Linked DNA regions of Ovis aries. The protein of the gene in region 1 interacts with the protein of each later gene in a pairwise test. Links are inferred from orthologs where the notes say so. Each region holds a gene or a part of one and is shown on either strand. Other genes may lie near its edges.

The links.
Region 2: the proteins of TRIM63 (region 1) and PKM interact in a two-hybrid assay, tested with the Homo sapiens proteins (3 studies listed by BioGRID and IntAct). The link is inferred for Ovis aries from reciprocal best matches to the Homo sapiens genes TRIM63 and PKM.

The regions. Positions count from the first base shown.
Region 1 is NC_056055.1:240,762,766-240,766,381, reverse strand, and holds part of TRIM63 (E3 ubiquitin-protein ligase TRIM63), read right to left. Parts: intron 1,959-3,616; coding exon 1,790-1,958; intron 791-1,789; coding exon 695-790; intron 1-694. UniProt on the Homo sapiens protein: E3 ubiquitin ligase. Mediates the ubiquitination and subsequent proteasomal degradation of CKM, GMEB1 and HIBADH.
Region 2 is NC_056060.1:19,006,373-19,010,695, forward strand, and holds the start of PKM (pyruvate kinase PKM), read right to left. Parts: upstream 2,852-4,323; 5' UTR 2,777-2,851; intron 1-2,776. UniProt on the Homo sapiens protein: Catalyzes the final rate-limiting step of glycolysis by mediating the transfer of a phosphoryl group from phosphoenolpyruvate (PEP) to ADP, generating ATP.

The sequences.
Region 1 (3,616 bases):
AGCAGCATCTCATTAGACTGGGGGCCCCTCGTAGATAATAACATCCTTCTTCCTTCTCTGAACCTATACTCACACAACTCTATCCATCAGAAATACACTGATCACTCCCAACCCCCCATGTCATTCCCAGGTCCCCACCTCAAGGGGATATGAAAAATCATGGATGCTTTTGCAGAAATAGAAAAGGGTCCTCTGCCTCTACAGTCTTGCTCCTCAGAGTGTGGTCCATGGACAAGCAACTTGGGCAAATCCTGGGAGCTTGTTAGAAAAGCACAATCTCATGCCTCCTTCTAGACCTACTGAATCAGAACTTGAATTCTAACAAAATCTCAGGGTGATTTCAAGTTTCCCATTAAAGTCTGAGAAGCTTTAGTGTACAGCACACTGGAGAACAATGCTCTAAGAACTACTAGTTCCCTGAATAAATGCTGGGAATGATTGAAGGGGATACTGCCTGAAGTCAGGGACCTGGTCTGCCTTCCTCGCCACCCCATCCTCAGCATCTTTGGCAGAGCCTGGTATCCAGCTGTCCTCAAGAAGCTTTTGTGAGTGAATGCATAAATGGATTAGTCATTCCCTCCCCAACCATCCCTGTGTGAACACTCCAGGCCCAGGCTCCATGGGGAAGCCACCCCAGAGACCAGGTTGCCCTGGGAGGCCTCGAACACCCAGGCCCAGCTATGCTCCCCCTCACCTTGGTCACTCGACAGGAGTCCTCCAGCTGAGTGATGATGGTCTGCACACGGTCATTCCCTGCCACCAGCATGGAGATACAGTTACTCAGCTCAGTCTAGATGGGAGGGACGGTGGGGGAACAGGAGAGGAGAGACAAAAATAGTCTCAGGGCCCACCCTCATGGGAGTGGCAGCAACACAGCACCCTCACTCCCCTCTCTGCTAGAAAGAAAATCTTTCTGGGGCGCAGCTCAGGTCCAGAGCAGAGAACACCGGAGAGACACTGCATCCCCCATATCACAGTGGAGGCACAGAGAGGGGACGTGAGCTGCCCCAAATGCACAGCAGTGTGCTGGCCAAGGAGGGGCTTGTTTCTGGGAATGAAAGGATCCAGAAAAAAAAAAAAAAGGTTGGAGAATTCTAGAAGAGAAGATCAAGGGAAGAGAGGAAGGAGGGGAGGAAAGAGTAAAGAAAAGGGTTATTGTTGCTTAGCCACTAAGTCGTGTCTGACTCTTTTGCGATCCTAGGGACTGTAACCCACCAGACTCCTCTGTCCATGGGATTTCCCAGGCAAGAAAACTGGAGTGGGTTGCCATTCCCTTCTCCAGGAGATCTTCCCAGCCCAGGGATTGAATCTGTGTCTCATGGATTGGTAGGTGAATTCTTTACCACTGAGTCACCTTGGAAGCCACAGCTTACTGTATGTACAGGGTGGTGGGGCTCTCGCAGGCCCAGGGACCCAGGGAGAAGGCTGCCTCTTGCTGCAGGGGGATCTGGGGAGCGGGGACCAGCACAGGAAGGGGCAGCAGGGGCCCAAACGACACTGGATTATAGAAGTCATGGCCTGAGAGGACCCGGGTGACCTGGCCCTGAGATCTGGTCTCTCCCTTGGGGCCGCACCCAGGTGCCCTCAACCGGCTCTAAGTATAACTCATGAGCTCAGCTTGCCATCTCCCCAAGGAAGGCAAGGGCAGTTCTCCCTGTGGCCCAGGACGTCCCTCCAGGGGGACTATTCCTGAAAGGCCGGCTCAGCAGATCTATGGGGATCAAGTCCACATCCTGAATCATCTGTCCAGCAGGCTTGGGCTTGGGGTGGGAGTCACTCAGGCCAGTACCTTCTGTCCCTGGAAGACACTCTGCAGGGGGGCCACCTCGCAGGCCTTGTGGGCTCCGAACACCTTGCACATGGAGCACGTGGGCACCTCGCACGTGAGGCAGTAGATGTTGATTTTCTCATCTTCATGCTCCTTGCACATGGGGTGGCTGCCCTTCTGCAGCGGCCGGCTGAAGTGGAGAAGAGTCATCAGTCACGAGGCGGGGTCTGAAATCCCTGTCTTCCCCTGCAGCCCCAGGAGCCCCCCACCCCACTCCATATCTACAACCCGAGCTCTCAGAGGTTGTCTGTCCTGAATCCTTTTCTTTTCATTCTCTGAGGGCCCGGAACCAGGGAAGCCAGTGACACCAAGACTAGGATTCAAACTCCAGTGATGGAGTTGGCCCAGGCCTGGCTAGTGCAGGACCTGGAAAAAGTTGTAGGATCCCAGAGTCATTTTGAGACATTCTGGAAAAGAGGAAACTGGGTCCCAGAAAGGTGAATGGACTTGCCCAAGGTCGCCCAGCAAGTCAGGGCAGGGGAGGCTAAGGTTCATTTGTTCTAATTATAGTCCCTAGGCTCTTGGTTACAGCAGGTTGGGCTTCCAACAAAGCAATTTATATTCATGGCCTCACCGAATTCTATATTTAATCCACCAGACTGTAATCTCTGTCAAAGCAGGGAAACTTGCCTGTAGTCTTCAGCCCTAAATCTGCAGTGTACAGTGCCTGACATGGAGAAGGCGGTGATTAAATAGAGTGGGAAGAATACATCAGTAAGCATGCCATGATGGTGTACCAAGGCTCTGAGAAGGAGGTGGTATGTGTGCCCCAAGTCACTCAGTGAAAGCAGAGGCAGCCCAGGGCCATCCAATGGCCCAGCACAAGCCTCAATTTCCAACCTGAGAGTCTTTCCAGGATCCAGAGTTGCTTCTTTCTCTTTCTTCCCAAACACACACTCTTAGGATAACTTTCTCCCTTTGTCTCTCTCCTCTTAGGGCCTCGGGTTCTCTCACGGTCACTTCCTCCCTGAGATTCAATTTTTTGAGTCTAGGTTTTACGGCCCTGGCTAACTCTACGCTCATCTAGAATCAACAGTAGCGTCTACGTCATCTCTGATTTCCCAGCCCCTTACACAGCAGTGTGCTCACTTAGTCCTGTCTGACTCTTTGCAACCCCATGGACTGTAGCCCACCAGGCTCCGCTGTCTGTGGATTGCTCCAGTCAAGAATACCAGAATGGGTTGCCATTTCCTTCTCCAGGAGATCTTTCCAACCCAGGGACTGAACCCATATCTCCTGTGTCTCCTGCATTGACAAGCAGAGTCTTTACCACTGAGCAATGGCAGGCAGGTCATAAATGGTGACTATCCCCCATCATGTCAGTGCCTCACCTCCAAACAGCCCTGCATGACTGATCACACCCAGGGCATTACTGTCCCCTCAAGATCTTAAATAAGCTCCTTTCCAGACTTGTCTTCCCAGGGTCCCCCATGCTGGCAGGGCTCTTCCTTTGCCACCTGTCTCTGCCCTCTGGGAAGGGGGCCCTGGGGTGAGAGCAGGTGCAGAGCTGAGGCATGATCCTGCGGTCTGGTGCTGTGTCCCCCGTCATCCCAGATGCCCATCCTCCCAACCCCCGGCACCAGCGTCAGGGTTCAAGTCCACACTGTTCTGCCGCTTACTCATGGTGACCTTGGACAAGTGATTTCACCTCTCTGAGCCCTGGTTTCACCCCCAAGCTACTGAGATCATGGCAGGAGTTCTCCGCAGTGAATGTGCAGTGCCTGGCATGGAGCAGAACCTCAACAACTCTCGCCATCATTCAGTTCTGGGGAAAGGCCTGGGAGGGTT
Region 2 (4,323 bases), on another chromosome or scaffold:
ACTGGGGCCTGAGGCTCTGCCACGTGGCAATTAAGCACTGTCCAGAGAGCCTGGGGGCCTCCACTATCGTCACCTAGCTGAGGTGCTCTTAACTGGGAGGAATGCATACTTCACTATTTGACTCACTGAAAGGGGAGAGGGGATTCTTAAGCCTGCAAAGACGACAGTGGTTTCCCCACTCACCCAACGAAGACAGTTCTCTTAAAAGCGGAAAAATTCAAAGGTTGAGTCATCTTCCCTACATCCTCCCCCACCCCACCCCCAACACAGATCTGGTGATGTTACATACTCCTCCCCTCAGAAAAGCTCCCCCTGCATTCCCAACAGCATCCTCAGGCAACCTGAGGGTGAATTATTTGCTAACAATGCTGTAGAGTCCCGACCTAGAGCCTCCTCTACACCCCAGGGAGTGGCCACACCCTGCAGACAGCAAACAAGGAGCTACTGTCCTTTGCCTCTTATCTTAATCTCACACCAGCTGGCTGAGCAAATCCCAGAATGCTACCTGGAGTAGGTGCCAATAGAACCTGAAGATTTTAGTTTTAGGTTTCCAAGTTTGTTTCTAATCTTATAGCCAAAAGCTATAATACCAAAGGCTGAAAGCCATCTCCCTTCTTGCCTTCCTTTGGCTGGAGGACCAAAAAGCCCCTGTTGCAAGTGGAGAGTAGCAAGGTAACATTGTTAGTTACTTTGCCAACACTGTAGCAGGATTCCTGAGCGACTGGTTTCTAGATCTCTGGTATTTACATACAGCCTGACTCCCAAAGATGAACTATGACCGTTTCGGGATGGCAGCAAGAAGAGGAGCGCTCGAGTTCAATTATAGATGAAGTCATTGGGCTCAGTGACCAAAAGAATACATCTGGAGGCATCGCACCAGAGATTAGACACTGCACCCTGTATAGACACTCAATATGTATCTATGTTTAAGTATGTATATAGCGACCCACCCTTTCAACACCCAAGATGAAAATAGTTACAATTTTCACATGGGAAACAGGTCCTGAGGCTGAATTCCCCCTATTATTCCTATCAGTATGTAATGAGTTAAACCTGATTCTGAAAGCCTGTTTTCAACTTCCCACTGCCTCTGTCCGTCATGTCTGGACCTCAGTTATCAGGCTCATTTGTATGGGGGAGGGTCAGTGTCCCGGGTTTGAAGAACATAGATAAGAAGACAAGAGATGCCAACCCATTACTGAGTCTTCAAATAATCTTCAGACTGGAAGGTGCTTTTCCGCTTCATCACACCCCGTGTGATGCCACCTGGTGAGGCCTCCTAAACCCCGACAGGAAGTGCGTACCCTCCACGTGTGGAAGCCCGCGTGTACCTTCTTCACGGCACTTATCAGTGGTAACTTTTACATTCGTTTCCTAATCGGACTGAGCTCTGTGGGCTAGGACGATTTTAGTCAATCTGGTCTGGTCTCCACAGCCCTCCCCCAAACAACTCTTTATACGAGTTTTTAATGAATGAGCGTGTGTACGTGGCACCAAGCTCTTGATATATTTCTACTCTCCTCAACCCGCGGCCTCCGCGCTCTACAATCGGGCGCATCTGTTAGGCAACGCTGTTAAGTAACGTGAAGCACAGGCAGGGAGCCAGGTGAGTGCCTCGAACTCGAGGAGGCCTCTGAGCAGCATCCAGAAGCTTGTCGGGCCGGAGATGATGCTTGGTCGGTAACGGGCCCGAGGGTCAGAGTTTCCTGAAGCCGAGGAGCGGGCGCGGCAGGGCGGGTCCGGCGCCGCTACGTGCAGCCCCGCCTCGGCGGGATGGAGCCCGGGGCACCGCCCCCACCCCCAACGCCCCCCGGAGCAAGCGGAGCGCTGCGGCCGCTCTATCGTATTCTGGGCGGCACAAAACAGGAACGCGCCACTGGGCAGCCACCCTTTCTTCCTCTGCAGCGGGTTAGACCAAGGGTTACGTAACCCTCTAACTGCGCCTCCGGCCGCCACTGCATCCATCTCCGGGCCGCCTGGGAGCCAGCCTGCCCATCCGCAGACCAATGCACTTCGGGACTGACCCCGGAACTCCAGCCCCGGGCTGGGGAACTACGATGGAGAAGGGGGGGCAGGAGATGGGAGGCCGAGGGGCGGGGACGGAGAGCAGGCGGACGTGACCAGAACAGAGGGGGAGGGGCGAGGAGGCTGGTGGCGCGAAGGAAGGTGCGCAGGAGAGGGATGCGCTGGAGCGGACGTGACCAGAGAGGCGGGGGAGGGGCGGGAGCCAGCGCGTGAATGAGGGTAGGTACTAGAAGGGGACAGCAGCTGAATGGAGGAGGAACAGGGGAGCGGAGCTTGGGGAGTTTCAAGGAGAAGTTACAAAGAAAGCATCAGAATGAGGGGGACACGGACAGGTTGAAAACAAGAAGCGAGTATTAAGGATGATGGGAAAGGGACGGGCATAGGAGCAGAGTGGAAACGGGGGAGACTGACGCATGAAAGGAAACTATCAAATTAGGAGAATAAAGGGAGGAAGAGGAGAGCGAGACCAGGTCGAAGAGGGAGGAATAGGGAGGTGAGAATGGGACCAGAATGGGGATGGGAGGTCAGGGACTGGGGCAGGAAAGGGGCTGGCTGACCCGTCTGCCTTCGGAAGAAGCGGGAGCTGGGGGCTTTGAAGGAGATCCTAGGCACAAGCAGCCTTTCTCCTCTTTTCTGATCCCAACCGGGTGAGCCCAAGATGCCCCGGACCCTGCGCCATCCTGGGTCCGCAGGCGGGCCAGCATTCCGCACTGCCCCGGGAGACGATGGCCCAGTCTCTCCCCACGCTCACCTCCGACGTGCTCCGGCTCGGGATGCGCTGCTACTGCACACAAGTCCGGAGGCTCGCGACGCGTCGCTCCAATGCGGAGATCCGCTGCCTTAGCCTCAAGGTTATCCCGACTGTGGGCCGCCGCAATCCCTCCGCCGCCCCGCCTCCCACCCAATCCTGGCTCCCGGCTCTCGGGGCCCCGCCCCTCCGCGTCCTCGCCGGGCAGTCACCTTCAGTAGGAAGTGCGGCGGAGGCGGAACGGGGGAATCAGGTTGCCCTTTGAGGGAGGACTACATTCCGTGGCGGAAGGACACGAAAAATAAAACTCGCAGCATTGAGGTTCTGCAGAGCCCAATGGGGAAGCGGCGAGACGGGAGGACCCGCCCTCGGAGCTCTGGAGACCTCCCTCCCAGACCCCCCGGCGCCCAGGCCACCTGTTGCGGCCAACTTGGAATACTGGACCAGGTCTTCTCTTGACCCTTGGCCCAGGCCACCCCAGCTGAGTGGCTCTGGCCTACCCAGATAGTGCCCAGATTTATGGGTCCCCGGGCAGCAATCCCCTGGCCCGGGTGCCCGCCCCAGCGCACGCCCCGAAGACTGAACCGAACAGTCAGGGGTGGGGTGGGGGATGTAGACTCATGGGATGGTTGGAGGTCCCGGCCGCCTTAGGAGGGGCTCCTACACTGGAACGGGGGTAGAACAGGGGAGGGCGGGGAGAACGCGGGAGGGCGGAGTGTGCTAGGAGGGGGAGCGCGAGGCCCTTTTGTTCTTAGGGTTTAGAACAAAGGACAAGTAGAGGCCATGTGAAGACTTTAGTAGGGACTGGAGTCCTGCGGTGCGAGTGCCTGAGAGTAGAAAGTGAATAGAAGGTATTAATATTAGTGCAGGACTGACCATATCAGGAAATGTCATAAAGTTAGATCTCATAATCTCTGCCAAAGTAAGAATTTCTGTTTTCAACCTTGTGTATTTTAATCAATATTGTTGGAGCTTTTCTTGTATTTTTCCTTAAGGCATTTTCTCATTTCCTAGTGATCACAGCAGTTATCTAAGAAGCAACTGTTAACTCTTGCCTTCTTTCCGCCAAATTTTGAGCAGATACAATGTTAAAAATCGTGAATACTATTAGGTTCTTTCCTTTTCCTGGAAAAAAGAGACCAATGGGTGTGACCCACTCAGGCAGACACCCTGCCTGCAGCTGAATCACAGGCCTTCATTATGCTTTCCTGTTAGCTCAGATAAGCTGACAAAAAGTAACAACATTAATTTGTTTAAGATAAAATATTTTAATCTCTTCTATAAGCTGTTTCTGGTTCCCTCAGTTGCAGAGAGGGAGTGAATGCTTCGTTACTGAGGTGGTAAGAGCTCATGAAGTTGCTGAGAAGGAAAAAAAAAAAATCATGCTTTACCAGAGGGAATCAGATTCTTCTCTATCCAGAGAAAGAGGGTGGCTTAAGTGGCCATATTGGCCCATCAGCTAAAGATGAACAAAGTACAGGGTTGAACAACACTAGAGGGGCAACGTTCTGGCCAGTGCTGGACTACATTGCATTTTAAAGATCTGTATC